Linked DNA regions of Saccharomyces cerevisiae S288C. The gene in region 2 interacts genetically with the main gene of each other region. Each region holds a gene or a part of one and is shown on either strand. Other genes may lie near its edges.

The links.
Region 1: mutations in OXP1 (region 2) and GIS3 together harm fitness more than expected from each alone (negative genetic interaction), as found in Saccharomyces cerevisiae (one large-scale study listed by BioGRID).
Region 3: mutations in OXP1 (region 2) and ARO3 together harm fitness more than expected from each alone (negative genetic interaction), as found in Saccharomyces cerevisiae (one large-scale study listed by BioGRID).
Region 4: mutations in OXP1 (region 2) and SPO74 together harm fitness more than expected from each alone (negative genetic interaction), as found in Saccharomyces cerevisiae (one large-scale study listed by BioGRID).

What each region holds. Positions count from the first base shown.
Region 1 is NC_001144.5:324,555-332,398, reverse strand, and holds GIS3 (Gis3p), read left to right. Parts: upstream 1-3,160; coding exon 3,161-4,669; downstream 4,670-7,844. Other genes in the region: IOC2 (Ioc2p), read left to right, coding at 284-2,722; NYV1 (Nyv1p), read left to right, coding at 4,984-4,999, 5,141-5,886; SUL2 (sulfate permease), read right to left, coding at 6,174-7,844.
Region 2 is NC_001143.9:24,577-35,017, reverse strand, and holds OXP1 (5-oxoprolinase), read left to right. Parts: upstream 1-4,330; coding exon 4,331-8,191; downstream 8,192-10,441. Other genes in the region: phosphatidylinositol-3-phosphatase SAC1, read right to left, coding at 1-475; DOA1 (Doa1p), read left to right, coding at 911-3,058; YRA2 (Yra2p), read left to right, coding at 3,325-3,936; URA1 (dihydroorotate dehydrogenase), read right to left, coding at 8,859-9,803. UniProt on the Saccharomyces cerevisiae protein: Catalyzes the cleavage of 5-oxo-L-proline to form L-glutamate coupled to the hydrolysis of ATP to ADP and inorganic phosphate.
Region 3 is NC_001136.10:516,497-523,978, forward strand, and holds ARO3 (3-deoxy-7-phosphoheptulonate synthase ARO3), read left to right. Parts: upstream 1-5,319; coding exon 5,320-6,432; downstream 6,433-7,482. Other genes in the region: YDR034C-C (gag protein), read right to left, coding at 1,544-2,860; YDR034C-A (uncharacterized protein), read right to left, coding at 4,020-4,196; cysteine-rich palmitoylated domain-containing protein CPP3, read left to right, coding at 4,818-4,973; mitochondrial 37S ribosomal protein mS47 EHD3, read right to left, coding at 6,715-7,482. UniProt on the Saccharomyces cerevisiae protein: Stereospecific condensation of phosphoenolpyruvate (PEP) and D-erythrose-4-phosphate (E4P) giving rise to 3-deoxy-D-arabino-heptulosonate-7-phosphate (DAHP).
Region 4 is NC_001139.9:183,501-191,124, reverse strand, and holds SPO74 (Spo74p), read left to right. Parts: upstream 1-5,730; coding exon 5,731-6,972; downstream 6,973-7,624. Other genes in the region: Ca(2+)/Mn(2+)-transporting P-type ATPase PMR1, read left to right, coding at 657-3,509; HUR1 (Hur1p), read right to left, coding at 3,329-3,661; SUA5 (threonylcarbamoyladenylate synthase), read right to left, coding at 3,786-5,066; RNA-dependent ATPase ROK1, read right to left, coding at 7,041-7,624. UniProt on the Saccharomyces cerevisiae protein: Involved in the pathway that organizes the shaping and sizing of the prospore membrane (PSM) during sporulation. Probable component of a core structural unit of the scaffold that initiates synthesis of the prospore membrane.

The DNA.
Region 1 (7,844 bases), on a different chromosome or scaffold from region 2:
GCTCTATTCCTTGCTTAAACGGTGGCAAAGCAGGACTTCTAGGTCCACTTGAGCTCTTCTTTTCCTTTTCCAACCTTTTTAAATTTTCGTTGCTAGACCAAGTTACCGCTATCACCGCACACGGAATGCGAGAGCGTCAAAAGTGACATAATTCTTCCTTTCCAGCAACATTAACATTTATTTATTCAATAGTGACACGACTAAGAAACTAGATCAATTGCTCTATTTTACTCATACACACTGGCTAATCATATATAGATACAAAGCGGTGAATCAGCGATCGATGAGAACGAAGAGAACTAGGGGTACAAGAAATGTAGGAGCGAGCATGCCTGCCGGCGCTGCGAATGCGGATAGTGAAGACTGGAAAGAATATGTCTCCGAAGACATAATAGCCCAATTGAACAAGCACCAGCTGCCGTATTCTGAAATATTAGATGAGAAGATCGCGGACTTGGCCAATCACTGGCACTTCCAGTATGTGATGGCTTGGCTTTCCAATGTCTGCGAATCATATACTACAACGACATTTAATACTGACCAGTATGGCGGTAGCTCTACCAAATGCTTGTGGAAGAATATCAAATTCGATGAAGGTGTATTTGTAACTGACGTATTTTCGAAGATAGACGGGAAGGACTCGAACTATTACAATGATGAAGTCGACGTAGATGAAGGATCGCAAAATTTGTACGACAGAATTAGATTGCAATTATTGCATCAATTAGCGGGAAATAAAAGCGGGCAATTGAAAGATTGGAATGTTATAGTTAACCATCACTTGCAAAACTCGAGCGCGTATTCAGATTTGGTTACGGACTTACCTTTTTTGGAGCTTGAAATTGCACGCCAATTCGACATCATTTACAGTATCATAAAATTAATTGAAATGAAAAATATGATCTTCAAAAACTACTTAGCGAATAACTTGCATCTGTTTACGTTTAGTGAAGTTATACTGGATGATGATAATAGTGGAGGGGAGGAAATGAAGAGCTTGTTTGCCTTACCCAATGTTGGTGTACTCGTAAAGAAAACCATTCACAGAGTAAAAGAAGGCTCTTCCTCCCAAGTCTCTCAAACTCTGAATATCCCAATAAAACTACAGAACTGTACTATAAAAGAAAGCGACCCAGACATTCCTGATTCAGTGGAGCTTATTCATCTCGAGTACTCTCACGATATCGATGCATATCTTCAATCGATTACAATTGATTATGATGTGATTACAACTAATTGGGGGTCCATGCTAGAATACTGGTCAGAGAATAAAAGTTCGAAAGCCATAGATGAGTTCATAACTAACTTAATACCGGTGTATGCCGAACATAGACTATATTCGGCAAAACTTTTGGCCAACAGAGAAAAGGAGAGAGCAATTGCGGAGCTAATGACAAGGAGGAAAAGATCTTCGAGACTGGTAGCGAAAGAGGAAGAAAACAAGAAAAAAGACTTGGAAAGTGAGTGGTTTGAAAAACTAGATGAAAGAGAACAATTTATAAGGCACAGAAACAAGCTAGTGTCGAAGGAAATCAAAAAGATAAAAGATCTTCTTTGGAACCAATTGTGGCAATTGTACGATCAAGATTATAGAGATGAAAAATTGACCAGGCGTAACGAGCTCAAAGATAGAAGTGGTTCTGGTACACCGTTTTTTGAAACGTCTTTGGGCAGGGAGGAGGACAATCCCTTAAATGAAATCGATATCGGAGTTCTTGATCACGGCCCTAACTTTCAATCTAGTATAATCCCGGTGGAACCACCAATTCCTGGAACTGTTGGGCCACTACAGACGGGAGACGTCCCTGAATTGCCTAGTGACTTCTGCATAACAAAGGAAGAGCTAGATGAGCTTGCCAACTACGGGATCTTTACTCCGCAGCAAGAGCCCGACAACCAAGATTCTGTTTTCCAATGTCCGGGCGAACCAGAGCTGGCGCCCATGATTATCACCGAAGACACGGAGACTGACCTCTTCAATAACCGCCCATTGATATGCTGTGATCATTGTTACAGGTGGCAGCATTGGGAATGCCAACCTCCAAAAATTATAGAGCTTATATCTTCAACCACAAAATCCCCACAGCACACGCTGTCGCAACGTGATTTTGGCGTCATCATAATGGGAAATTCGCACGGCAATAGAAGGTCTTCTCGCAGACCCCAATCCACACTTGAACCCAGCACCAAGTCTTCAAGACCTACTGATAAACGCAAACCGCTGTCTGAATGCTCCACTTTTATCTGCGCTTGGTGCATCAGGGACTTGGAACTTGAGCTGCGCAACATTTTTGTGCCTGAATTGAAAATAATAAGGGCCAAACAAAGAAAACAACAGGAAGACCGTGAAAGAAGAAAAAAAATGAAGGAAGAAAAGAAAAGGCTCGAAGAGCTTGCAAAGAAAAGGGAACTAACCGAGTCTGTCTCACCTCCAGTGTTTAATAATGCATTTGCAAACATGTCAAGTAGCACAACGCCTAGTATCGCCGCTTACGAAAAAACAAATCCAGCCATCAATCCAGCACCTAATGTAAATGCCGCTCACCCCATAATTACATACTCGCAGCAAACTGGCAGCAAAACTGTACCACAAGCACCACAGGCACCACAAACATCACAAGCATCAATCCAACCACAGCAGCAACAGCAACAGCAACAGCAACAGCAACCGCTGCACCCTAAAGAACAGAACTTTCACTTCCAGTTCCCACCAACCAACTAGCCTCATATAGAAATACACAGCAAAAGTATATAGTAAAATATATATCAACTGGTTCTTCATGAAACTTTCTTTTCCAGCCGCACATCCGTAGGGCTTCTGTCGCTTCATGTCGGGTAATAATGATGCTTAGGGCTTAGCGCCAAAATAATTAGGGTGTATGAGGCGGCTCCTGACTAGGGTCAGACGGCATTTTTTCGTCTTTTTTTATCCGGTTTTTCGTCAGTGGCCATCCTTAATGCGCGGCAAAGGTGCTGAAGGCGCCTTATTGTGTTAAAAAAGCCAATGAAATAAAAGTGGGATGGTGAGAACGCCAAACGAGTGAAACAGAGAATGGAAACTCGCTTCTTCACAAGTATTTGATGGCTAGTTTTCTCAATTACTTGTTTCTTTGGATAGACACGAACATACAGAACACTTTCAACAAGACATAATTATAGAATGCTGCTGGACGTGAACACAAATCACACACTAATGCACGATGCTCATGTGCATGAACATTGCCTCATCAAAAGCATACGTGATGATGGCGCATTGCACTCATGGAGCGACTCATCAAAGGTATTTTATCCCAAGTCATTTTACGCTACCGCTACTAATAAGAAGAATAACAAGTTAGCCAGCGCCAGCATGAACAAGACCGCCACAAGTAATAGGACGGTGAGCGATGAGATTTATTTCCACTCCACTAAGCCGCAGTTCGATGGTCAAGGAAGCGCTGAACGTACTAGAACACTAACCAAGAGGAATAGCTTCAAGAGGACTAGAATACTGAAGGCTCGAGACGATTCCGAACTGCTGAACGAAAATCGCTCATCTTTGATGACCCCGTCCTTAAGCTCGGTCATGTCGCAAGTTAGGAAAACAAATTCCGCCAAGACGTTATCGGGCGAATGCCCCATACATGAGGGCCACTTAACACAGAGCATAAAGAGGAAGTTCTCCGAGGAAGCTCAAAGCGACTGTTCTTCATTGAGCTCCTCTAAACTTCATCCCTTGACAGATGATATTGCTGACGCTGTCGATTTGCAGACCCCCGCGATTGGCGATGAGGTACTGGCTGAGCCGGTCGTGCCCAAAATGAAAATAATAAACATAAATGATCTCGATTTGTTCGACGACTGGGAGGTTAAGGATTTAGTCGATATCTTTCCTCCCGTATACGAACGGCGTCCGCGATCGTCCTCTGCCCTTTCACTGGTTTCTGCGTCGTCCGATGCCAAACTTCGTCCGACCTCTGTGGACTTCCAAATCATCGACAAGAAAGGCGGCAAGACTTCAAGAAGGAAGAGTAGGAGCAAATCGACTACAGAAAACATGATTTACGAAAATGACCTGGTAGAATTAGAACAATGGCCATCTGCATCACCATCGCCCGAGACCGACGGTTCGATTGCATCTAGCGAGCTCTTGCCCAATAAAAGAATAAGACAAAAAAGTTTGAATACCAATTTCCTAAAGTTATACTCTATTGAAACATCATGTAAAAGGAAGAGTATTTTACCCGAAGTCGAAGTAGATGACCATCTGTTGAAGCAGCTAACGTATTCCGAAATTCGGTCTTTGGAAATCAAAAAGGAGCCAAATGTCTCTACGAACGATATTAAGCTTGCCCTAATTACTAGGAAAAAATTATGGTCTGACATGGTCCATGAAACAAGAAATGATCTTTTTGGCGATTCTACCCCCTGGAATTTGCACTTTGTTGCAACGACAAGCAATACGGAACCTTCGCAAGGCCGTGAATCCGCAAGCGAACATGCAACGGCGGATTTGAAAAGTTCTTTGGTCCGCGTACACTCAGACGTCAAGCCATGGTTCAACAATGGCGGCACAATGCTCAAACCATGCGGAAAACTAAATTTAGGCAAAGTCACCAATAAGACTTCCGCACCTACGAGAGAGATTCAATATGTCGTAAAGGGCTGGTGTGACAGCAGGTTTCTCTGATAGACCCCCCACCTTTTCATCGCCTTCACCCCACCCATTTGCATTATCTAAAAATAGTAAACTATATATTCTACCACCACATTCATTATATATAATATTTAAAACAACGCATTACCACCAAGCGCCCGGGTAATATTCGCCTCAAACGATCGAAGAAAGAAAAAATGAGGTCACAATAATGATGAAAAAAAGCCCCTCTATGAATTTTCTAGCACTTGACTAAGTTGGAGCAACAGCTATTAAATTTGAAGAACAGAGTGAAAAGCGACAATTTATTAAGCTGTTAGAGCATTGGACTTTTATATTTTTACCAAATGAAACGCTTTAATGGTATGTATAAATATTTCTACACAATTAACAAATGTTTAAAAAAGGGATTATGCGAATGCTCATCCCCCCATGCCATAATTTTACTATGTTACATTCAGTAGACTAACGTTCCATTTTGCTTGATTTTGCATATGGTCTTAGTAAGTTATGTGGAAGTTATAAAAAATGGTGAAACAATATCTAGTTGTTTCCAGCCGTTCCAGAAAAACGAAAACTATGGTACAATAACTTCAGCAAACGAGCAGATAACGCCGGTCATTTTCCATAATTTGATCATGGATATGGTATTACCCAAAGTAGTTCCGATCAAGGGGAACAAAGTTACCAAGATGTCAATGAATCTCATCGACGGATTCGATTGTTTCTACTCCACGGATGACCATGACCCCAAAACTGTGTACGTTTGCTTCACATTAGTAGATATGCCCAAGATTTTGCCCATCAGGATACTAAGTGGGCTGCAGGAATACGAGTCCAACGCTACAAACGAACTTTTAAGTTCGCATGTAGGTCAAATACTAGACTCTTTCCATGAAGAGCTGGTCGAATACCGTAACCAAACTTTAAATAGTTCTGGAAATGGCCAATCTAGTAATGGGAATGGTCAGAACACTATAAGTGACATCGGGGATGCCACCGAAGACCAAATAAAGGACGTCATCCAGATAATGAACGATAACATCGACAAGTTCTTGGAGAGACAAGAAAGAGTTTCTTTATTGGTGGATAAAACTTCCCAACTAAATAGCAGCAGTAATAAATTTAGGCGCAAAGCGGTCAATATAAAAGAAATAATGTGGTGGCAGAAGGTCAAAAATATTACGTTATTAACTTTCACTATTATACTATTTGTAAGTGCTGCTTTCATGTTTTTCTATCTGTGGTAAGTAAATAAAAAAAAAGGGGAGCTGTCCCACGACAATAACATTAATAACGGTTGTATTTCTTTTGTTCCTGAGAGGAAGAGAAAAATAAAATAAAAATAAGGTAAATATTTATAGGTATGTATATGCTCACGATGGCACCATCCTACCTATTATTTCTTATTATATAAACAGTGTCTATCTCATTATGATATTAAATGTATACTTTTAAGGGGGAAAACTTTTTGGTTTAGGAATATAGAAAAAAAGAGATGATATAAATGTTTGCATGTCCATTGTAAATGCATTGGCTAGATATCCCATTTAGCAAAATCTGGGATATCGATATGGAAGAAAGGTAGATTTGTTCCTGAAGCGGTATAAACGCTATATTTTTCAGGATTTTCTTCGCCTTGAGGTACTCTGGCGACGTGATAACTTGTATGACCGGCAACAATGGATTCATCACTGTATTCTTCGTTCAGAGTACCAAATCCTCTGCTAATTAAACCTCTCTTCACCCATGGTGAAATGATACCCACAAAGTGGAATTCAACTTGCCTATCTGCATATTGATTTATGGCCTTTCTCAAATCAACCAATGATTGAAGAGCCGTAGCGTCTGTCTGTGCCACTTGTGAGAAGTCTAAGCATAGTATTTTCAGCAATGGCCTGTCATCTCTTTCAACATCGACTGAGGTGCTGGGCGCGTTTTCCATGGATTCAGGGTCGTTCTCCCTTTTCTTCCAGAATTTCAAATTCTTTAAGAAAGCAGGTGCTTCCCATGGACCAGGATCATTCCATGGACGGTCAGATTTTTTTCTGTGGCGAATTAATTGACCACGTCTGGTAACTTTTTTAACTTCTTCGGTTATGATGTTGTAGTGTCTGGAACAGTTGAGATAGGTGTAGCTCTCTGATAGCCTATAAACAAGAACACCGTCTGGTGGGGGGAGAATCTGAACGTCCGGGTTCAATTCTCTTGTGTATTTATGATCAAACGGTATCCATTTAGTATGGTATTTTATCCTTGGCTGGCTAATCGAAGAAGATGGAGAATCAAAGCCCTTTGTTTGAACGTTTGTTTCTATTTTCTTGGAGGAATTTGTGACGTATTTGGTGGAACTTTCCTTGTCATCCTCACCACCATCTTCTAAAGTGGAAATACCATTGTTATTTTCAGACACGTAGCTAACCACATCGGAGTCCGGTCTGACGTAAGCATCAGTAACTTCAGCGACTTCCACACGACCCAAGAATTTTCCCGCTGGGAAAGCCACTTTTAAAATGAGCATTGCACATGACCAGCACATGGCAAAATAAATACCATCTTCAATAGAGGCAAATACCGTTATTAGGACGGTGACAATGAAACAGATGAAGTCCAATGGATTCATCTTCCAGAAATTCCAGGTAGTTTGATAAGAGGCCAAAAGATCAGATACAGCGTGAATGATAACTGCAGATAAGGTAGCCTTTGGAATGTAAAAGAATGCGCCGGTCAAACAATATAATGCTAAAAGAACACATGAACCCGAAAACAAACCAGATAACGGCGTACGGACATTACATTTAGCCTTCAAAGCAGACCTTGAAAAGGAACCAGTCGCTGGGTAAGCATTGAAGAAAGTACCTAAAAGGTTCGAGACACCAATAGCAATCAATTCTTGGTCGGGGACGACTTTATAGTCGTTGATTCTACCAAAAGACTTCGAAATAGCGATATGCTCCAACAATAACACAATAATGGATGCAGGCAAATTTGGACCAAGCTTAGACATTAATCCTGGTGGAACATGGAAAACCCCGACTTCTTTCAAACCGGATGGAACTGAGCCTAGGATGCTGATGGGCCTCTCCGATTTAGATTTGCCTCTTGTGATTGCCCAACCAATACAAGTGAATACAATAATAATGATACCATTTCTGGAAGCCTGAGCGTAAAAATATGTCCATTTGATAATTTTGTGTAACCTTGGGTT
Region 2 (10,441 bases):
GGTTCCAAAAGAATCGTTCATCAGCGGTTTTCCAGGAGGCTGCAGGACCAACCTTTTCATTTCTTTGTAAGGAATTTGTTAAATCATATGTGTATGAAAAATAAAAGGTGGAATTTTTCAAATGCAACTCCAGTAGCTTGATATATTCGGCTTCTTCAGAATCGATTCTCGAGTTAAACTTGGTAGATACGATAGAATGTTGCAACACTCTATAGAAAACGTGGCCATTGAATCTACCGGTCTCTTCCACAGTATTTGCGATAATGGCATACCTGTTCAACTTTAGCTTAATGAACCCCATCAAGGACGCAATCTTTACTACTTCACCTTGCACAGGAAATTCCTCTGCTCCAAGGACCCGAACACCTTGATCTTGATTGGCCAAGTGAATAACAGCATCGTTAGTTCCTTTGCCCTCAGCAAGCTTGAAGAAGATACCGTCCGCATTTTGAACGTACACTATTGGACCTGTCATATCTAGACGAGAAAATATACGTGTATATAAATATTATCGTTACTGTTATAGGGATATGGTTTCTAATCCTTTCTCCTATTTCCTTATCTAAACCTGTGGTATTTTTCCCTTGCCTTTTCAACTTCAATAAGCTGGAATTAAATTTGTAGTGTGGGTAAGCAGTAGTGCAGCAATGCGTGCGTGTGCAAGCTCTTGAATATTGAAGGTCTACAGGTTACTAAAACAATAGGAGCGAGGCTTGGACGTCGAGAAAGTTGCTGACCTTGGCATTTCCTTTGCGAGTTTTTCAAAATTTTTCACACTCGTTCAGGACCACGAAAAATAAATCATATGAGATTTTAGTACGCTGATAATAAGGGAAGGCCACTGTCTTGGCTTATTTTATATATATATATTCATGTGTGATAGTAAGGTGTAGAGCAGCAGATTTGGAGTATGGGATATCAATTGAGTGCAACACTTAAAGGGCACGATCAGGACGTCAGGGATGTGGTAGCTGTGGATGATTCAAAGGTTGCTAGTGTTTCGAGGGATGGAACAGTTCGCTTGTGGTCTAAAGATGACCAATGGCTCGGTACGGTAGTTTATACAGGACAAGGATTTTTAAATAGTGTGTGTTATGATTCCGAGAAGGAGTTGTTGCTTTTTGGAGGTAAGGATACTATGATCAACGGTGTGCCCTTGTTTGCCACCTCAGGAGAGGATCCCTTGTATACCTTGATTGGCCACCAAGGGAACGTTTGTAGTTTATCCTTCCAAGATGGTGTTGTGATAAGCGGTAGTTGGGACAAAACCGCAAAGGTTTGGAAAGAAGGATCGTTGGTTTACAATTTGCAAGCACACAATGCCTCTGTATGGGATGCCAAAGTCGTATCCTTCTCAGAAAATAAATTCTTGACAGCTTCCGCCGATAAGACGATTAAACTGTGGCAAAACGATAAAGTGATCAAAACTTTCAGTGGGATTCACAATGATGTAGTAAGACATTTAGCTGTGGTGGATGATGGCCATTTTATCAGTTGTTCAAACGATGGCCTCATCAAGTTGGTTGATATGCATACAGGTGACGTACTAAGAACATATGAAGGCCATGAAAGCTTTGTTTATTGCATTAAACTGCTGCCCAATGGAGATATTGTAAGCTGCGGCGAAGACCGAACAGTCCGTATATGGTCAAAGGAAAATGGTTCGTTAAAGCAGGTAATTACACTTCCTGCCATCTCTATTTGGTCCGTTGATTGTATGTCTAATGGTGATATTATTGTGGGAAGTAGTGATAATCTTGTGAGAATATTTTCGCAAGAGAAGTCAAGATGGGCTTCCGAGGATGAAATAAATGAACTATCTACGCAAGTGGAAAAATCCACTATAAGTTCCAAGACAATAGAATTTGATGAGTCTAAACTATCACCTTATGAAATTTTACAATCGCCGGGGCGCAAAGAGGGTCAAATTGTGGTAGTCAAATCACCTCAAGGTACTATAGAAGCTCATCAATTTTCAAATTCTTCATGGAAAAAGGTTGGTGATGTTGTCGGTGCAGGTGCTACTGGAAACGACAAAAAAATAGAATTCGAGGGTAAAACGTATGACTACGTATTTGATGTGGATATTGAAGATGGAAAACCTCCCTTGAAATTGCCGATTAATGTCAGCGACAACCCATATACAGCAGCCGACAATTTTTTGGCTCGTTATGAACTGCCAATGAGTTATAGGGATCAAGTAGTACAGTTCATACTGAAGAACACTAATGGCATATCGCTAGACCAGCCCAACGATAATGCATCATCTTCTGCAGTATCACCTTCAAAAACGAGCGTAATGAAGGTTCTTCCTGTCAAGCAGTATCTTATCATGGAAAATTATAACCCAGATACTATTTTCAATGGAATAGTAAAAATAAATTCAAATGAGAAGACCTTTGATGATGAAATTCTGGCGCAAATTGGTGGCGCACTACATGACATAGATGAAAGCTGGGAGTTGCTACTTTCATTTGCTAACACTATAAGATCTAACTGGGAAATTAAGACTCCTGCATACGACATAGTACGATTGATTGTAAAAAAATTACCTTATTCTTCAGATATAAAAGATTACATCGAAGAAGGCTTGGGCAATAAGAATATCACTCTAACCATGTTAACTGTGCGTATTTTGGTAAATTGCTTCAATAATGAAAACTGGGGTGTGAAATTACTGGAATCAAATCAAGTTTATAAATCAATTTTTGAGACTATAGATACTGAATTTTCTCAGGCATCTGCTAAACAGTCACAGAATTTGGCTATTGCAGTTTCCACACTAATTTTCAACTATTCAGCTCTCGTCACGAAAGGGAACTCTGATTTAGAACTTTTGCCTATCGTAGCTGACGCCATCAACACCAAGTATGGGCCATTGGAAGAGTATCAAGAATGCGAAGAAGCCGCATATAGGCTAACCGTAGCTTACGGAAATTTGGCTACTGTTGAACCTACATTAAGACAATTTGCCAACTCCGTAACTTGGCTTGCAAACATCAAAAGGAGCTATGGGAACGTGCCAAGGTTTAAGGATATTTTCGACGATCTCTCCTAATACTTTTACAGCAATCATATAAAACACATAATGTCTAGATAGCAAATAATCTTTAAAATTCTTTCTGCCCTATTGAAAATTATGACAAACTATCACGGTCATTTTCTGTCTAACTCGGCAAGAAATTATCATCGTGAAATGAAAAAGGTTACATACAATAAGGTTATTTTGAGTACAGACTGATAAATAGATGGAAAAGACTAAAAAACTGAAACGATAAGCGTCTAGTACCTTTTCCATTAGACGATTCAATACTGCATTTTGCAATGGACAAAGCATTTGACGAAATTATTGGAAATAGTCACACAGACAGCTCATCTAATCATAAGGTAACGAGATACCGCAGAAGGGATTTAAGAAATGAATTAGGACCTAGACTGGGATTTGCGCCTTCGGATGCTGCATCAAGGTCGAAAGATCGCCTTTATAGAGAGAGGGAAGAGCCTCCTTTGCCTAAGAGAATTAGAATATCCAAAATCCCACTAGACGTTTCTGACTACACCCTCGATGATATGATTAAAGAGTTTGGCTCGCCAATATTTTCGAAAATTTTTGACAATAAAGAGGATCGTACATGTATTTACGAATTTGAAGACCCAGAAGTTTTGGAAAAGATTGTCGAGCGTTATAATGGACATGAGTTACATAATGCAAAAATTGAAGTGGAGATTTACCAACCACAGAGAAAGCATTCTAGAATGAATGCCCACAACCGTCGCAAACAGACGGCTCAAGAACACGGAAGAGGCAGGCCAGGGAGCCATTATCGCCAAAAGCCTAACAGAGTCTCCAAAAAGAACAAGGGCCGTGAGAAGAATAACACTCCTACTTCTGTCGAAGCTCTTGACGCTGAATTAGATGCTTACATGAAAGGTTAAGCAATTGTGTATCTACTTATAATTTCTTTATAGTCTTTTCAATGTTTTTTTACTCCATCAGTCTACAGATATGAAACCTCAGTACTACTTTTTACCTAAATAATTAATTTTTATTTCTAGAGGGTAGCAATGATAAACACTTTACCAATCTCTGGAATTAAGAACAAGCGTACTCCGCTCTATTCAGTATTATTTGCATGAATACTTCAACAATTGTTTTGTTTGCCTCAGGTGCTTTTCCGATTGAGCACGATCGCCATAACATTACCACTGAAAAGAAAGATAAGATCAAATGTTACGTGGTGTTGAAGAAAGAATGCCAAAAACTAAGAACTGAACTTAAACAGTAATAATTTTGAGCATTGAAAACCTAAATATAACTTCTTGGTATACAATGCAGAAAGGAAACATAAGAATTGCCATCGATAAGGGTGGAACTTTCACTGATTGTGTGGGGAATATTGGTACAGGTAAACAAGAACATGATACTGTCATCAAGCTCTTGTCGGTGGATCCCAAAAACTATCCAGATGCTCCCCTTGAAGGCATAAGACGTCTCTTGGAGGTGCTTGAACACAAGACAATTCCTCGCGGTATTCCTCTAGACATCTCTAATGTGAGAAGTTTAAGAATGGGGACAACCCTAGCTACAAACTGCGCTCTAGAAAGAAATGGTGAACGTTGTGCCTTCATTACTACGAAAGGCTTTAAGGATTCATTGCTGATTGGAGACCAAACCAGGCCAGATATCTTCAACTTAAATATAAAAAAGGTAGTGCCATTATATGACACTGTAGTTGAAATAGATGAGAGAGTTACTTTAGAAGATTTCTCGGAAGACCCTTATTTTACCAAATCGTCTCCTAATGAACAAGAAGGTATCCTGGAAGGTAATAGTGGCGAAATGGTAAGGGTCATAAAGAAGCCAGATGAATCAAGCGTAAGATCTATTCTGAAAGTGCTTTATGCTAGCGGAATCAAGTCTATTGCGATAGCATTTTTACACTCATACACTTTTCCAGACCATGAGCGAATTGTTGGTAATATTGCCAGGGAGATTGGGTTTTCTCATGTTTCATTATCATCTGAAGTCTCTCCAATGATAAAATTTTTACCGAGGGCTCACAGTTCTGTCGCAGATGCCTACCTTACTCCGGTAATTAAAAAGTACTTGAATAGCATTTCTGCAGGTTTGAGCCACGCAGAAGATACCCACATTCAATTCATGCAGTCTGATGGTGGTTTAGTGGATGGGGGAAAATTTTCCGGTTTGAAATCTATTTTATCTGGTCCTGCAGGTGGCGTAATAGGTTATTCTAGTACATGCTATGATAAAAATAATAACATACCCTTAATAGGCTTTGACATGGGAGGAACATCTACTGATGTCAGTAGGTACGGCGATGGGAGGTTAGAACATGTTTTTGAAACTGTTACCGCAGGGATCATCATACAATCTCCTCAACTTGACATCCATACTGTTGCTGCTGGAGGAAGTTCTATTTTGTCATGGAAAAACGGGTTATTCAGAGTAGGCCCTGATTCAGCAGCTGCTGATCCAGGCCCTGCAGCCTACAGAAAGGGCGGGCCTTTGACCATTACAGACGCCAACCTCTTTTTAGGACGTTTGGTTCCTGAGTTCTTCCCCAAAATTTTTGGGCCCAATGAGGATGAATCACTTGACTTAGAAACCACTACTTTGAAATTCAGAGAATTAACAGATGTCATCAATAAGGATCTGAATTCAAATCTAACCATGGAAGAGGTTGCCTATGGATTTATCAAAGTAGCTAACGAATGCATGGCAAGACCTGTGAGGGCCATTACAGAAGCAAAAGGACATGTAGTATCTCAGCATCGGTTAGTTTCCTTTGGCGGGGCTGGCGGGCAACACGCCATAGCGGTTGCAGATTCATTGGGCATTGACACTGTTTTAATTCATAGATATTCTTCTATCTTGTCCGCTTATGGCATTTTCTTAGCAGATGTTATTGAAGAAAACCAAGAGCCTTGCTCTTTTATCTTGGGTGAGCCAGAGACCATCTTGAAAGTGAAAAAAAGATTCTTAGAACTTTCTAAAAATTCAATCAAAAACCTTTTATCTCAGTCGTTTTCTCGGGAGGACATAGTCTTGGAAAGATATTTAAATCTCAGATATGAAGGTACTGAAACCAGTTTGATGATATTACAAAAATATGATGACCAATGGAATTTTAGGGAATGGTTCTCTGAAGCTCATAAAAAAGAGTTCGGATTCTCATTCGATGACAAACGAATTATAATTGATGATATAAGGATAAGAGCAATTGGGAAATCAGGCGTTAGAAAAGAAAAAACGGTTGATGAGCAATTGATTGAAATTTCCCATTTCAAGAAAGCCGACGTGTCAAAGGATGCTAGTTTTACCCAGAAAGCATATTTTGACAACAAATGGGTCGACACTGCGGTCTTCAAAATTGATGATCTTCCTGCCGGAACAATTATCGAGGGCCCAGCCATATTGGCTGACGGTACCCAAACAAATATTATTTTACCAAACAGCCAAGCAACAATTTTAAACTCTCATATATTTATCAAGATCAACCAAAAGGCTGCGAAGACATTATCTAAAAGCGGATATGAACTTGATATAGATCCAATCTTATTGTCTATTTTCAGTCATAGGTTTATGGATATCGCCCTCCAGATGGGTACTCAATTGAGGAAAACTTCTGTTTCAACTAACGTCAAAGAGAGATTAGATTTTTCATGTGCACTATTCGACTCTAAAGGAAACTTAGTCGCTAACGCTCCTCATGTACCTGTTCACTTAGGATCAATGTCAACCTGCATATCAGCACAGGCGAAGTTATGGGAAGGCAAATTAAAGCCTGGTGATGTTTTAATCACAAACCATCCGGATATTGGTGGTACTCATTTACCAGACATAACAGTAATAACTCCTTCTTTCTCTTCAACTGGCGAATTGATATTTTATGTGGCTTCAAGAGCCCATCATGCAGATATTGGAGGTATTCTACCCGGTTCAGTGCCTCCAAATTCCAAAGAATTGTACGAAGAAGGAACCGCAATTTATTCCGAATTGGTTGTCAAAGAGGGAATTTTCCAGGAAGAATTAATTTACAAGCTTTTCGTAGAAGATCCAGGCAAATACCCAGGCTGCTCAGGTTCAAGAAGATTTAGTGATAACATAAGCGATTTAAAAGCGCAAGTCGCAGCTAACACAAAAGGGATACAGTTAATTGGGTCATTAACTAAGGAATATGATCTGGCTACAATATTGAAATACATGGCTGCAATTCAGACAAATGCATCTGAATCCATAAAAAAAATGCTTGCAAAAATGGTTGAACATTTTGGCACAACGAAGTTTTCTGGCGAAGATCGCTTAGATGATGGAAGCTTAATTAAACTACAAGTTATCATAAGACCTGAAAAAGAGGAGTATATTTTTAATTTCGATGGCACTTCTCCCCAAGTTTATGGTAATTTAAATGCACCAGAGGCTATTACTAATTCTGCGATTCTTTATTGTCTACGGTGTCTAGTAGGCGAAGATATTCCTTTAAATCAAGGTTGTTTAAAACCCTTAACAATAAAAATTCCTGCTGGTTCCCTCTTGAGCCCCCGATCCGGTGCTGCTGTTGTCGGAGGCAATGTATTAACTTCCCAAAGAGTGACAGATGTAATCTTAAAAACATTTAACGTCATGGCAGATTCTCAAGGTGACTGTAACAACTTTACATTTGGAACTGGAGGAAATTCTGGTAACAAAACCGATAAGCAGATCAAAGGCTTTGGATATTATGAAACCATATGTGGCGGCTCGGGGGCTGGTGCAGATTCATGGAGAGGAAGTGGTTGGAATGGCTCAGACGCTGTACACACGAATATGACCAATACAAGAATGACAGATACTGAGGTATTTGAAAGGAGATACCCCGTTCTGTTGAAAGAGTTCTCGATCAGAAGAGGTTCAGGAGGCAAAGGTAAATATACTGGCGGAAATGGCGTAGTAAGGGATGTTCAATTTCGGAAGGCTGTAACAGCATCTATATTATCAGAACGTCGTGTCATTGGCCCTCATGGTATAAAGGGAGGACAAGACGGTAGTAGAGGTGAGAATTTATGGGTAAGACATAGCACAGGCGCATTAATCAATGTCGGCGGTAAAAATACGATTTACGCTCAACCCGGTGATCGATTCATCATTAAAACCCCTGGTGGTGGGGGATTTGGACAATACAAGGATTAAAGCATTTCTTTTTGGTTCTTAGTCAATATCGAATTACACGGAACCATTGGTATACCGTGGATGCGCCAGCCACAAATTGACTTTTACAGAAAGTACAGTTTAATTATATAAGAACAGGCACTTAACAATGTTTCGGAACTCTGTAGATAAAACCAAATTACTCTTTCGAAAAGGCTACATTCTACATCAAAATCACCTGTGCAATATATATATATATATATATATATATATATATGCACATATTCGTTAATTTCTTCACTTTTTTCCCCAAATATTAAACAGATGGCTTCATTTCTTCAACATTATTTTCTGGTTCCTATGCCATTTTTAGCCTACTAATAATTATCGTTGAAAAATGTTTCTTGAATAAGTCTTAATGTAAGGATATATCATATGTTGAGATATAAAAATTTAAGTATAAATGAATCAAGACAATAATTTACATTGATTAAGTTATTTCAAAGTATAAGTATTTAGTATCATCATCTATTAAAGCACATTGAACCCTAATGTATGATGCCAATTGCGAATGCACTCACCGAAAAATTAAGGAATTAGCATTTACCAACTATCCTTGATTTATGCAATTTCAAAATAATAAAATATTCATACGAATCTTAACACTCTTCCATAACTTGTCCCATCATAGTTCTTCAAATTCCGATAATTAAATGCTGTTCAACTTCCCACGGAACTGATCTATGGATGTATAACCCTTAGCTTCCATTATGTCTTTTAATTCTTTTTCGATACGTTCAAAAATCTTGACGCCCTCTTTTTGTAATTCTGTACCAATCTGTAGCATAGAGGCACCACATAGAAGATGTTCAAATGCATCCTTACCGGACTTAATTCCACCTGTACCGATAACTTTGATTTCAGGTCTCAAACGAGTGTAAAATGCACGAACATTGGCGAGCGCGGTTGGCTTAACATATTCACCTCCAATACCCCCGAAACCATTCTTTGGCTTCACTACTACACTCTCCTTCTCCACATCAATGAAAAGACCATTTCCTATACTATTGATAGAGTTGACATAAGCTAATGGGAACTCGTTCAATATTTTTGCCATGATATCAAAATGGGCAAAATCAAAATAAGGAGGCAACTTGACACCAAGAGGTTTTTTGAAAAAGGCAAAAACCTTTTCCAAGGTTTCCTTTGTCAAGTCAAAGTCATAAGCAACTTGTGGTTTCCCAGGCACATTAGGACAAGACAAGTTTAACTCGGTAATACCGTTGAATTCGCTATCTTGGATTTTCCTCAACAAATTTAAATTTTCATCAATGCTCATACCAGCAACTGAGAAGAAAATAGCAGGTGCATCAGGATAATTCTTTTGACGGTTTAATACATAGGACAAATAGTAGTCGATACCTTCGTTTGGTAAACCCATGGAGTTGATACTGCCTAGAGGGACAGAAATGTAACGTGGTTCAGGGTTACCTTCTCTTTCTAAGGTTGTAGCACTCTTTGTAATGAATGCGCCAGCTTTAGAGTTTGCTAATTCATCTAATTCTTGTGTAGTCATGCAATGAACACCGGATGCATTCATAAATGGGTTTTCATAGGTATTGTTCAAGAACTTGGTAGTTAAACTGGCTGTCATGTTTGGTACGGAAGTTCAATTTTTTTTTGAGTAATTGTGTATATCTATTTGAAACGTCTAGTAGTCCAAACTGTGTAATCCAAGAGAAGAATACCGGTTCCCGATGCGTATGCCATGCCATATATAAAGCTTTTTTTATTTTTTGGTGATGGGCATCTTGAAAAATTTTCGGCGAATGCCGAAGATCGTGAAATAACCTTCGGCAAAGCCCGGTGAAGAAAATGGCTTCAAGAACATATTAGTGAGAAAAAGTAGGCTGTAGTGGCTGAAGGATAACATTTAGTAAAATCACCAAATCTAAAGTAGAGTAAATATCTAATAAAAAAGGCTAGAATTGTTTCGAAGTTTATCGTCCGATCTTATTACATGGGGAATACACTATTTAGGGTGGGAAGATACCAGATTGACTTGGATCCAAGGTTAGGGAATGACCTCAAGAGGAAAAAGCGACATCTGTAAGATCGAGGATGCTCCTTTTCCTTTTTTCCCCAAATGGGCCGCAGCTGTGAAGCATATCGTTATCATATACTGCATTTTTCTGCTATCGTTCTATGGATGCGATACGTAATATCTTGATACTTACTTCCTTCTGCAAGATTTCTATGGTAAAAAAGCTTATGTAGTGAAACCTGCACAGG
Region 3 (7,482 bases), on a different chromosome or scaffold from region 2:
GGACGAGAAGTCGTTCACTAGAGGATCAGAGTTTATTTCAATCTCCGATTGATAGTCATGATCAGATTCTGTATTTTGATCATATGACTGCTCTGTTTCATTTTTTTCAATAAAAGATTGGTTATGGGCTGTTAAACGATTGAGATCATCATCAAAGGTGAGTGTATCATAATTGAATTGGTCCAATTTGGATTGCTTGTCTTGTAATATAACGTAATTGGTAGTATCTACTGTCTTTTTTAATGATGGAAGATAGATAATATAGCCATAAGAGTTTCGTGACGGATGTAAGGCGTAACCTGGAATGCCACGAGGATGTATTTTCGAGTCGGGATTATGGTTGTTAACTATAACCGGTTGACCGAAAGGTAGTATAGTAGTAATGTCCAGTCCAGCTAAACCTGCATGTTGTCTTGCAGATTTATCGTTTTTTGGTGAGACTAATGAATTTCTGATTATAGTAGAAAATTCGACTGCTGAGAACCATAGATGATTTGGTAGACCACTGCAATGAAGCAGTGTGCGACAATCGTTTAATAAAGTACGATTTAATCGTTCAGCGACACCGTGTGCTCTAGAATCTGCCGTGGTTGTATAGCATGCAGTAATACCTCTGTTCGTAAAGAACTTATGAAGAGTTTTGTTAGTGTACTCGGAGCCACGATCCATCTGGATAACTAGAACGCGAGCATTGAATTGGTTCTTAATAAATGCTAATATCGATGTAAAAACATTGAGGATAGATTCTTCACGACGGTCGTGTAATGGGTACACCCATTGGAATCTGGTTTTCTCATCTGTAAACGATATAAAGTAAGAAGGTGCACTTTTCGGTAAGTGATGTACAGGACCAAATATATCGGTATGCAAGTACTGAAAAGGCTCATATGATTCTTGGTACTTTAGTCGTGATCCTTTGACATGTCTATGTTTCGTGCTTTTGCCGATTAGACAGTCAGGACATTGATATGTGCTAGCGTTAGACCATTCAATATCCGATTCCTTCAAATATGTAACTGCATTCTTCTTAAGAGACTTCTGAATACTTCGGAAGTTAGCATGTCCAAGCATTCGATGTATTAACGGATATGGATATTTATTTACGCTTTTGCTTTTGTTGACGTTGTTTATTGTTAGCTTTGAAATGTGCGAAGGAATTAGGTATTTTTTAGATAACCAGTAAAAGTCTCCATGTTTGACTATGGGAGCTAGTACTGTACCATCCGATCTTTCTAAAGTGTTTCTGGTAAAGCAGGCAGTAATATTTTGATTAGCCAGCTCACTCAAACTTAATAGATCATAGGCTATGTTTGGTGTGTGTAGTGCTTTTATTGATGTTTTGGTGCCGTTCTGAAAGTTGAAGTGAAGATTACCAATGGCATTTATAGGAATGTCTTGTTTTTGAGCATCGACTATGTTTATTTCAGAATTGGGTGTTGCATGGTGTAAATAATGGGCTGATCTGACAAGCGTTTGCGAAGCTCCTGAATCAATAAGAAGGTGATCAGGTAGTTCGTCATTCGAGTCTATTGTGTGTGTTGGCTTAGATTCTTTCTGTTGCTGGCCTAAGACTAAGTTCGTTGTCATCGCTTAAGTATTGTGATGAAACGGTTGATTCATTAATGTGATCATTGTTCACCCTTGAGAATTTACTAGATGTAGCAATATTGTGAGCTTTTGCTGCTCTTGGTTTTGAACTATTTGTTCTCTGATAATTACGAGTTGTAACCTTTGTGTTAGTCGTGTTTGGAGATGTGCGAGAAACATTTTTGTATTCGCTGTGTTGTTTGTATTGGGACGGTTTATTTAGATTCATGATTTTATTTTCGTCATATATTAATTGAATTTCAGCGAATAATTGGGAAAGTTTCATGTTCGTTTTGGTACGATATTGATTACGTAGGTATTTGAAGTCACCGGATAGACCTTTAAGTATTAGTTGACAGGCCAATCTGTCGCTAACATTGATATTGTTTTCTTTTAGCCTCTGAATGATCGTACTGACTGTAATTTCAAATGTATCAGCAGATGTACTTCCGTCGTACTCAAGGTTGGCAAGAGCTATCCAATCCTTTAATTCTTGATTGTTAGTTTGCATTTTGGACACACTTTTACAAAGGACTGTAAGGATGTCAGCATAATTAATTTCTAAAATTTGTTTTACCCATGTTGGCAATAAATGAAATGGGGCAAATGCTTGGAAGGTATTGTATATATACGCATGTTCTTCATAAGTCATTTGTCTTTTGATTTCACCCTGGTCATTTGGAATGATGTCACCGAGATTAGAGTTCTTCAAAAATCTGATGTAAAATTTAACCCATGTAGAAAAGTTTTCTTCTGATGTTAAAGTGTGTGGTGGTAAGACGTTATTTCCCACCTTTGTCTTAGCTTGAGGTATTTCAGAGTGTTGATTTTTTAAATCGATTGGATCAGGTGAGGAAGTACTCAGTGGTGGGATATACTGTGGCAACGGATAGTGTGGGTCCGGTTGATAATACGCAGGTGACGTTTGATAATGTGAACACGTCATCATAGATGGTTGTTGGTAATGTGCCCAGTTAGAGGCCATAGCTTTGTTTGGGGTCATCATGCCGTGCTGTTGGTACTGTCCATTCTGTGGAGGTGGTACTGAAGCAGGTTGAGGAGAGACATGATGATGGTTCTCTGGAACAGCTGATGTCCCAGGTGTTGTCTCTTGTTGAGAATTAACCTTAGTGGAATCTCTATCAAATTCCGGTAAATTGGAAGCTGAAACGGCTAACGGATCTTGATTTGATGGGACTTCCTTAGAAGTAACCGAAGCATAGGCGCTACCATGAAGATTGGGTGAATTTTGAGATAATTGTTGGGATTCCATTTTTAATAAGGCAATAATATTAGGTATGTAGATATACTAGAAGTTCTCCTCCAGGATTTAGGAATCCATAAAAGGGAATCTGCAATTCTACACAATTCTATAAATATTATTATCATCATTTTATATGTTAATATTCATTGATCCTATTACATTATCAATCCTTGCGTTTCAGCTTCCACTAATTTAGATGACTATTTCTCATCATTTGCGTCATCTTCTAACACCGTATATGATAATATACTAGTAACGTAAATACTAGTTAGTAGATGATAGTTGATTTTTATTCCAACAAGAAAAATACAATCTTCGAAAGTCATCCTCCCTTGAATATTCTTTCTTACCTAAACGAATAAGAACAGAATCTGAAAACAGGCAAGTGATTTTACGGAGGGTTGGCCGAGTGGTCTAAGGCGGCAGACTTAAGATCTGTTGGACGGTTGTCCGCGCGAGTTCGAACCTCGCATCCTTCAATAACTTATTTTTTTCCTCAATCTTCGATATTAGACATTTTTTTTTTCCTATGCCTCCCTTTTCCAAGTAATGTTTTTTTTTTTTTTTTTTTTTTTAGCTCCTCTCACAAAAGTACTGAGGACTGAAATGTAAAAACTAATAACACAATAGAAATAATCATATGATGATATAGAAAAGAAGAGAGGAGACAATCATAATATTATACGAACTCATGGCTTTCCTTATGGGAAATTCTACATTCTCGATAGTGACCCTGGTATATTCAATATACTTAGGAATAACTGTCTTTCATAACAATGGCGGCCATACGATTACCGTATTATCCACCTATTCTTGATATTAAACTGGAAATTCTGTGAATTTTGTGATAATTGTTGGAATTCCATTGTTAATAAAGGCTATAATATTAGGTATACAGGGTTTACTAGAAGTTCTCATCGAGGATTTAGGAATCCTCAAAATGGAATCTATATTTCTACATGCTAATGTTACGATTATTCCTCATTTCGTTTTATATGTTTCATTATCCTATTACATTATCAATCCTTGCATTTCAGCTTCCTCTAACTTCGAAGCTTTCCATAACTTCTGTCATCATCTAATACCGTATATGATAATATATTGATAGTATGACCACTAGTTGATACACTGTTGGAATAAAAACCAACTATCATCTACTAACTAGTATTTATGTTACTAGTATATTATCATATACGGTGTTAGAAGATGACACAAATGATGAGAAATAGTCATCTAAATTAGTGGAAACTGAAACGCAAGGATTGATAATGTAATAGGATAATGAAACATATAAAACTGAATGAGGAATGATCGTAATATTAGCATGTAGAAATATAGATTCCATTATGGGGATTCCTATATCCTGGAGGAGAACTTCTAGTATATCTACATACCTAATATTATTGCCTTATTAAAAATGGAATCCCAACAATTACATCAGAATCCGCACAATTATCATAGATGATAATGGATTTTTATTCCAACAATCAGCATGCCTTTTGTATTTCTGTAAAGAAGAGTAAACCATAACCTAAGTCAATATCAAATTTAGGATTGATGAATTTTCTACTCAAAATGCTTTGTTCAAGAAGGTACGAAAGAAGGTTCCAATCGTCCATTTTAGGGTCCTATAGTGTAGTGGTTATCACTTTCGGTTTTGATCCGGACAACCCCGGTTCGAATCCGGGTAGGACCTTTTCTATTTTTTAACCCTCTTGTTTTATTTTTCTTTCTTGGCTTTGAATTGCACAGCCCCTCGCATTTTTTTTCGATACCCTGAAAAAAGGAAAAAGGCGAAGAAATAAGGGCAATTTCTATTTAAAAATTATACAAGCTCGATTTTTCATTTTCTCCTTCCCCTCTCGCCCCTCCCAGTTTTCAACTGTATTTAAATGTTTCTCAGTTATGTTGTGAATTAAAATAATCCTAATTGTCAACTAAAAAAGTCTAAGTTAGCAATACCAAAATGAGGCATCATCAAAATATGCATTATGCCCCACAACAACAACCAGTCTATGTCCAACAGCCTCCTCCTCGGAGAGAATCCGGTGGTTGCTGTAGAACCTGTTGTCACTTCCTATGTTGTCTATGTTTAATTAACCTATGTTGTGACGTTTTTTAATTCTAATCGACAGCTAAAAATTAGTATGGAAAGAACATCATATTTAGCCGCTGAAAAAAAAGAAGCAGCTGCGTATCTTCTCAAATTTATGCGTACATAGTGACATATATTTAAAAGCTTCCTCACTTTCCTTTTTTATATTTTTTCATTGCTCAAGTATTAGTCACATCGGAAAGTATGCTTGCTGCATTAAATACATGCATGTGTTTATAAGTGTTTGCATTTTCTCTCTCTTCTTTTTTTTCTTCCTGTTACTTGTATACGAACGACATATTTATTTTCACTATTTCTCATTTATATTTATAGCTACTACCCCTATTACGTTACAAGAACACTTTATAGCATTATGTTCATTAAAAACGATCACGCCGGTGACAGGAAACGCTTGGAAGACTGGAGAATCAAAGGTTATGATCCATTAACCCCTCCAGATCTGCTTCAACATGAATTTCCAATTTCAGCCAAAGGTGAGGAAAACATTATCAAGGCAAGAGACTCCGTCTGTGATATTTTGAATGGTAAAGATGATCGTTTAGTTATCGTGATCGGGCCATGTTCCCTACATGACCCCAAAGCCGCTTACGATTACGCTGACAGATTGGCTAAAATTTCAGAAAAGTTGTCAAAAGACTTATTGATTATTATGAGAGCGTATTTAGAAAAACCAAGGACTACTGTTGGCTGGAAAGGGTTGATTAACGACCCTGATATGAATAACTCTTTTCAAATCAATAAAGGTCTACGGATTTCGAGAGAAATGTTCATAAAACTGGTTGAAAAATTACCCATTGCTGGTGAGATGTTGGATACCATTTCTCCGCAGTTTTTGAGTGATTGTTTCTCCTTGGGTGCCATCGGCGCCAGAACTACTGAATCCCAACTGCACAGAGAATTAGCATCCGGTCTATCTTTCCCTATTGGATTTAAGAACGGTACTGATGGTGGTTTGCAAGTCGCCATCGACGCTATGAGAGCCGCTGCACATGAACATTACTTCCTTTCTGTCACAAAGCCAGGTGTCACTGCTATCGTGGGCACTGAAGGTAACAAGGATACCTTCCTGATCTTGAGAGGTGGTAAGAACGGTACTAACTTTGACAAAGAAAGTGTTCAAAATACTAAGAAACAGTTAGAAAAGGCCGGTTTGACTGATGATTCCCAGAAAAGAATTATGATCGATTGTTCCCACGGCAACAGTAATAAAGATTTCAAGAACCAACCAAAGGTTGCCAAATGTATTTATGACCAGCTGACGGAGGGTGAGAATAGTCTCTGTGGTGTTATGATTGAGTCCAACATAAATGAAGGTAGACAAGATATTCCCAAAGAAGGTGGCAGAGAGGGATTGAAGTATGGTTGTTCTGTTACGGATGCTTGTATTGGCTGGGAGTCCACCGAACAGGTATTGGAGCTATTGGCAGAAGGTGTTAGAAACAGAAGAAAGGCCTTGAAAAAATAGCCTGTAAATGAGGGAAAAATGCAAATAATCTTGAATGATACTCAAAACTTTTGATTTATTGTAATTTCTTTCTGAACCATATTTATTACATTCAAACTTTTTTTTTTTTGCCTTTTATAAAAAAAAATACTTATAAGAAAAGAGAAAGAAAATGACAGTTTTCTATGTATCATTAAATAAACATCCATATACAAATATAGCGTTATGTTTTACTTTTATTATTTACATGCATAGAAGTGTTGGCAAAATTCTTTACGAGCCACGGGGCTGCTATTTCAGGTTTTATTTCCATCTTAAGCCATCGTTAACTTCTTCACATTTTCTTTCACAAACAATTTTACATAGCGATTGGATACCCAGTTTCCCTCTTCTAGAAGGAATCACATTGGCAAAGTGATTTAGTACTTCTCTTTCGGTAACTTTGGCGCCAGTGTCATCATTCGTTCTCTTTTCAATATACGCAGCGATTTCCTGTTCTGTAGGCAATTGGTATTTAGAATGGTAGGGATATTGAGTCCAAGTAACATTCGAGGTATTTCTTAGTAATGACATTGGTAGCGATGGTTTAGGAGATGTGATAGATGTCAACTGAGATACAAATAACTGTTCCTTCTTTGTCCATGGATACGGGACCCTTTGTTTATCAATAAGTTTATGCTTTGTGGCTTCAGAGAATTCCACCAAAGAGTCCTGGTTCATGCACATGTTAGCTGCTGTGTATAAGTCTCTTTTGATAGCAGATTCTATGTGATCTCTGGAATTCTCTTGCACCAATCTCAAGGCGATTTGAAGAGAGGATGGTGACTTGGTTAACAATTTCGTTTTGATTTCTTGTGCGAAAGCCTTACCTTCCGCAGAACCTTCATATTGACGTAAGTTATTCATTATGTCTTCAATAGTACCATTTTTAGACAAGTTAAAACAGGCTTCAATAACGTTTAATTTCTCGTTAGAATACTTGAAAACATAATCTTTTGGTAATGGTGATACGAATTCGTCGATGGATTCGTTAACCATCCCGAAGAAGTATGCAGATTGTGGATCGTTATT
Region 4 (7,624 bases), on a different chromosome or scaffold from region 2:
TGAATACACTGATTATCAGTCCTCTTTTATCAAGCCGCCGTCTAATAAATTACATCGCCATGGCTACTGCTATTTCGTCCACAGCTTAATACTTACCGAACCAGGCCTTGCGGCTCTTACCCTGCGTGCCCGCGCACCCTGGCGACTTCGCCTCGTTTTGGCGATTTTCTTAGCAAATATTCTTTCACGATCGTAGTGGTGGAAGGTGGGTGAAAAGAGTTGCGTTCCTAGCAAGGATCGGTTGGTATCAATTGCACGTTCAGCTCATCCCTAGATAACCACTTAACAGCAAAGCCGATCGTTAAACTTTTGTATTCTACATTCTAGTTGCATTTTTTTTTTTTTTCATTTTGTTACATCAAGACAAGATTCTCTATTTAAAGAAGTACTTTTTTTGTTAACAGTGTGGACCCTACCTATCGTTATATCGAGATCTTGTTCCCTAGGCCATCGTACACTATAGCCCTTCCTTCAAGCACTTAATAGAAAAACCTCTTTTTCTACACCATCATAATAGTGTTTGCTCGCCCCGTTCTTTCCATTCCCATTTATAACAATACTAGTAACTATAATAATATCCTTACGACTGGGCAAGACAAGACGAAGCAAGGCCAGCACAGACGTAAGCTTAAGTGTAAGTAAAAGATAAGATAATTATGAGTGACAATCCATTTAATGCGAGTCTTCTTGACGAGGACTCAAACCGTGAGAGAGAAATACTAGATGCCACAGCAGAGGCCCTTTCGAAACCAAGCCCTTCTTTAGAGTATTGTACTTTATCCGTGGACGAAGCTCTAGAAAAACTGGACACTGACAAAAACGGTGGTTTACGATCATCTAACGAGGCCAACAATAGGAGATCACTTTATGGCCCCAATGAAATAACCGTAGAAGATGATGAAAGTCTTTTCAAGAAGTTCTTGTCAAATTTCATTGAGGATCGAATGATTCTACTTTTAATAGGATCCGCAGTGGTCTCTCTTTTTATGGGTAACATTGATGATGCTGTTAGTATCACACTGGCCATTTTCATAGTTGTCACTGTCGGTTTTGTCCAAGAATATAGGTCTGAAAAATCTCTAGAAGCGTTGAATAAATTGGTTCCTGCTGAATGTCACTTAATGAGATGTGGTCAAGAGAGTCATGTACTGGCTTCCACCTTGGTTCCTGGTGATTTAGTGCACTTCAGAATAGGTGACAGAATCCCCGCAGACATTAGAATTATTGAAGCAATCGATTTATCCATCGATGAAAGTAATTTAACTGGTGAAAATGAACCGGTACATAAAACCTCACAAACGATCGAAAAATCTTCCTTTAACGATCAGCCTAATTCAATTGTACCGATTTCTGAGAGATCTTGTATAGCTTATATGGGTACATTAGTCAAGGAAGGTCATGGTAAGGGTATCGTCGTAGGAACAGGTACAAACACATCCTTTGGTGCCGTTTTTGAAATGATGAATAATATTGAAAAACCGAAGACTCCATTGCAGTTAACAATGGACAAATTGGGAAAGGACTTGTCACTGGTTAGCTTCATAGTTATTGGTATGATTTGTTTAGTTGGTATCATACAAGGTAGATCTTGGTTAGAAATGTTCCAAATATCGGTATCCTTAGCGGTTGCTGCTATTCCAGAAGGGTTACCAATTATTGTCACTGTTACTTTGGCATTGGGTGTTCTGAGAATGGCCAAGCGTAAAGCCATCGTGAGAAGGTTACCAAGTGTCGAAACTTTAGGCTCTGTCAACGTTATCTGCTCCGACAAAACAGGTACACTAACCTCAAACCACATGACCGTATCTAAACTTTGGTGCTTGGACAGTATGTCCAATAAGCTAAACGTCCTCTCATTAGACAAAAATAAGAAGACTAAAAATTCTAATGGAAATTTGAAAAACTATTTGACTGAAGACGTTAGGGAAACTCTAACTATCGGTAATCTCTGTAATAATGCATCTTTCTCTCAAGAACATGCCATATTTCTGGGAAATCCTACTGATGTAGCTCTTTTAGAGCAATTGGCAAACTTTGAAATGCCTGATATCAGAAACACCGTTCAAAAAGTTCAGGAACTTCCATTTAACTCGAAAAGAAAATTAATGGCAACCAAGATTCTCAACCCTGTCGACAATAAGTGTACAGTTTATGTTAAAGGTGCATTTGAAAGAATTCTTGAGTACTCCACAAGTTATTTGAAATCAAAGGGTAAAAAAACTGAAAAGTTGACTGAAGCCCAAAAAGCTACGATAAATGAGTGCGCAAATTCTATGGCATCTGAAGGTTTGCGTGTCTTTGGATTTGCTAAACTAACTTTGTCTGATTCATCAACTCCTCTAACCGAAGACCTAATCAAAGATTTAACCTTTACTGGTTTAATCGGTATGAATGACCCACCAAGACCGAACGTTAAATTTGCCATCGAACAATTACTACAAGGTGGTGTCCATATTATTATGATCACTGGTGATTCTGAGAATACCGCAGTAAACATTGCAAAACAAATTGGTATTCCAGTTATTGATCCAAAGCTTTCCGTTTTATCCGGTGATAAATTAGATGAAATGTCAGATGATCAACTGGCCAATGTCATCGACCACGTTAATATTTTTGCTCGTGCTACGCCTGAGCATAAGTTAAACATTGTTCGTGCATTAAGAAAGAGGGGTGATGTGGTAGCAATGACTGGTGATGGTGTTAACGACGCTCCTGCGTTGAAACTTTCAGATATTGGTGTTTCTATGGGTAGAATTGGTACAGATGTAGCCAAAGAAGCCTCAGATATGGTCTTAACTGATGATGACTTCAGTACTATTTTAACTGCCATTGAAGAGGGTAAAGGTATCTTTAATAATATTCAGAATTTCCTGACTTTTCAATTGTCTACTTCTGTTGCCGCACTATCATTAGTTGCACTATCTACAGCGTTTAAACTACCCAATCCACTGAACGCAATGCAAATTCTTTGGATAAATATTTTAATGGATGGGCCACCAGCTCAATCCTTAGGTGTGGAACCTGTTGATCATGAAGTTATGAAAAAACCTCCAAGAAAACGTACCGATAAAATTTTGACCCATGATGTAATGAAACGTTTACTAACCACCGCGGCCTGTATCATCGTTGGGACAGTTTACATTTTTGTTAAAGAGATGGCCGAAGATGGTAAAGTAACTGCTAGAGATACTACTATGACATTTACTTGTTTTGTTTTTTTTGATATGTTTAATGCTTTGGCCTGCAGACATAACACAAAGTCAATCTTCGAAATCGGCTTTTTCACGAACAAAATGTTCAACTACGCCGTTGGACTGTCTCTGTTAGGTCAAATGTGCGCTATATATATACCATTTTTCCAAAGTATCTTTAAAACTGAGAAACTTGGTATCTCTGATATACTATTGTTATTGCTCATCAGCAGTAGCGTTTTCATCGTTGATGAATTGAGAAAATTGTGGACGAGGAAAAAGAATGAAGAAGACTCAACGTATTTCTCAAATGTTTGATATGTCACATTTTGTGCTTTTATCGTTTTTCCTTCCTTCCCTTTATCTTTCATGAGGACGCCCAACCCTATTGAGGTAAATGTACTAATTAATGGGAACATATGTAGATGTATATATGTACATATATTTACAACGGATACTAAGATAAACATGTATGGGCGACTTTTCGTATATACAAAGCAATATAAAATTTTATTCTTTCCTTCTTTTTCCGGACTAGATATAAAATCTCCGTAATCAGTGGTTATGATTTTCAAAAGTTAATCACAGTTTTATTTAAAACTGTATACAATTATTTGCAGCCGCCTTTCGCAATCTGTTCATAACAGCTAATCCTTCTCCTTCCTCATTTATACCTTCGACAAATATTAGGTCTACTTTATCATTTTCATCCACTTTTCTTAAAGCTGCAAACAAGTTAGTCTGTATTTCTTCACCAGATTGGCCAAGTCTTTCGATGATGAAAGTTTTCGAAGAAAAATCGGGTTCATTAAAGATCTTAGATTGTAAGTCGGAATCACGTAATTTTAGGGAAGTTAAAATCGCAATTTTTTTTATATTACTGTTGGCTTTTAATTCCGTTTCGATTAACCTCTTTAATCTTTCCATCCTATCAACGCCCTTAAGAATGCCATCGCCTTCGCAATGAGGAACTAGTAAAACAACTTTAGCTGAAGGGGAATAGTGTCTATACTTCATACCAGGCGTTCTTACCTTTTCGCCCTTTTCAACTGTTTTCTTATTCTCAACTTTACAAAGAGACCAAGCTTCACCACCCAATTTAACAATTTCTTCATATGTAAAACCGCCAGGTCGCAGTAGCGTAGGAGGATTACATAACCCATCAACAACAGTACTTTCTACACCAACCTTGCACGCTCCGCCATCAAGAATTATGGGAATTTTATCCTTTAGATCATGATAAACATGAGACGCTAAAGTAGGAGATGGCCTAGTAGACGCATTCGCTGAAGGAGCAGCTATTGGTGTATCGCTCAGGGCAATCAGTGCTCTAGCCACTGGATTAGCGGGTATGCGTACCGCAAACGTAGGCTGATCTGCGGTCGTTAACTTTGATAATGCACTATGCTCTGAAGATGGAACTGGCAAAAGAATTGTTAATGGGCCAGGCCAAAGGCTTGAAATTAATGGGCGATAGATTGAGGGTATGTTATCAAACAAGGATGTACCTGATAGATGCGGTTGATTAAAGACCTTTCTGTTAAGTTGATCAATGGATGAAACATGTGTAATCAAAGGATTGTCACTAGGCCTATTTTTGGCCCTGTATATACTAAGCACTGAATTATCATTTAAAGCAGAACCTCCAAGACCATAAACAGTTTCGGTTGGAAAAGCCACAGTCTCATCTGTATCTCTTATTATCCTCGCCGCTTCAACTAGCGCTGCTTCCGTTTCAGGATCTGTTATCGTTGGTAAGGAACCATCTATATGCGCATCAGGGGAGAAAATGATTGATAGCGGGTTAACTTTTAAGATCTTGGTATCAAACAGTGCTTTCGATGTCATTGCCAAAAAATGTCGTCCAAGGTACATACAATTCTAAAAATGGAATAATAAACAGGACTACCATTAAAAATGGAAACAGGTTTAGTGGTAAGTTAACAGCGCAGAAGAAAAAAAAAATTTGAGGAGAAGAATAAAGCTCTCGCTTCAAATATTATCAGCTTCAATAGGTATGTGCGATGAGGTTACTATCTTCTGGGTGAAAAAATAGTAAGGCTAGCGTAGATAATGATTTGAAATTTCTCAAAAAAATATTTTTGATACATATAATAATTTTGAAGCCTGAATTTTTCAACGAAATAGCCTTGTTGGCGCAATCGGTAGCGCGTATGACTCTTAATCATAAGGTTAGGGGTTCGAGCCCCCTACAGGGCTATCTTTTTTAGGCTCAAATCAAAAAAATGTCTAATATATTAAATTCTACTTCCTTTTTATATCTCAAAGAAGAAGGCATTTAACCCCATTCATATGGTTTACACTTGTGTTGAGATTTGTTGCTTGCGCTTCTTTTATCCTTTTAAACCGCTTATTTATCCTTTCCAACGATAAGGCTCAAATGACATCAATGTTCTCTTTTGTGTCACAAGAAATATAAATAACAACAATAAAACATTAGGTATTTAGTTGGAAGTCAAACTTGAAACTCTTCCCGGTTATGTTGTATTGGCAAGGAAAGAGCTGAATTGGTTGAGTGATGGGAGCTGGCACTCTTTTAAATGGATTAGAAAAGGAAAACTTTCCAAATAACATCCATTCAGATTTGCCTGCGTATCCTAACATGGATTCTCAAGAAGATGGCAATACTAGTAAGGAAAGTAAAAGAAATAGTCCAGTAAAACAGAAGTCCCAAAAAGATGAAGAAAAGTCATCTAAAATGGGGACTGCAAGCAACATATTCCATGAAAATAAAGATATACACGAAAGATCTGAACACACGGACGATTTTAATGATGGCTTAAAACTGGCTCCGGACTCTAGTCCAAGCTTGAAAGAGTGTCAATTTAAAAATTGGGAAAGTTTTTGGTGTAATACAGAAGGTTACAAAACTAAACACATGCAGCCCTTTCATTTTACAAGCGGATTAGAAGAAATAAAGGAACCGGTCATGGAATTGAATATTTCCACTTCACCATACAAGGGACAGAGGCCAAATTCAGCTCCAACCGAGTATTCAGCTGCCACAACAGCGTTTACCAAAACACAATTAGAGGTGAGTTTTCTAAAAACCAACTTGCTTACATACATTAAAAAAGAGATTGACATTTGCTTGTCAAGTGTTCCATTTTTTGACGACGCAGTTCAAATGCAAAAGAAATTCTTGGAATACAGAGATATTGACTTGGATGAAGAATATGAGCTCAAAATTTTGGGGGAACTTTTGAATGATTTAAACTTCTTTCATATGCAAGAAAACTCTTTGCTAAATAGAGAGCTAGCAGTTCGTAGATTCTCCAATCAACCTGAAAGTCAAAATTTACCTTCCATTAGGGATTTTAGAAATCCACTTTTGCCAATAGATAACCGCCCTTCTCCCCCATTAGGATTGAAAAGAAACGGAAAGTCTTTCGAGGAAACCTATGATTTCACGTCCAATACATCAAATTTTTGGGGAGAAAAAGCAGAACTACAAAACTCCATAACTGGTGGAACACCCTATTTTTTCCACCCTAACAATATACATCAAACAAAACCTTTTATGTCATTTGAAAATCAAAATGAACTTCTATTCCAGAGAAAAAATTCAGATTACAAGCAGCATTTTAACTCTGGAAGAAATATACATAATGGAGTGGAATCGAAATCTTACAGAGGTGTGGGGTTAAACGATAGTTATCAAAAGGGTTATGCAGCAATGACAAAGTCGTTTGGAAATATCGATTTAAATAGAATGCCCAGAAGAAGTAATGAAGAAATGTATAGCTGGTCACGTAATTGATCAATGAAAGTAAATAAAAAAAACTACTAATCATATATACATGTCTTGCATACGCACGTTTGTTTATATTATTTCGAGAAATGTTTTTTTGAAAGTTCTTCATTTTTTCTTCTTTTGGATGCTGCAATCATTTCTTGTTGACGTCTTCTTTTGGCCTTATCCATCTTAGGCACAGTAGTAATCTGCTTTCTTTCTTTATGCGCTTTACCGTTTTTTATACTTTCTTTCTCCTTTCTGGTCATTTTAGCCATTTTATCCATCCACTCAGATACTTCACAACCACTTTGTTTCATGACATTTATTATTGGTTTAATAGCTACTGAGTCTTGTTTAGTATAGAATGTGATAGCTTTACCTGACCGCCCACCTCTACCTGTTCTACCAATTCTGTGAACATAAGCCTGAGACGATCCTGGAACGTCATAATTGATGACCAGATTGACACCTTTGAAGTCAATACCACGAGCTAAAACGTCGGTACAGATCAAACACCATAATTCACCAGTTTTAAATCGTTCAATAATCCTGTCTCTTTGTAAGGCTGTTCTTTCTGCATGAATCACATCTACGTTAATCCTATCGTACATCAATTCATGATATAACGCTTTTGCTCTTGTAATAGACTCTAAAAATATTATGATCGGTGGCTTGA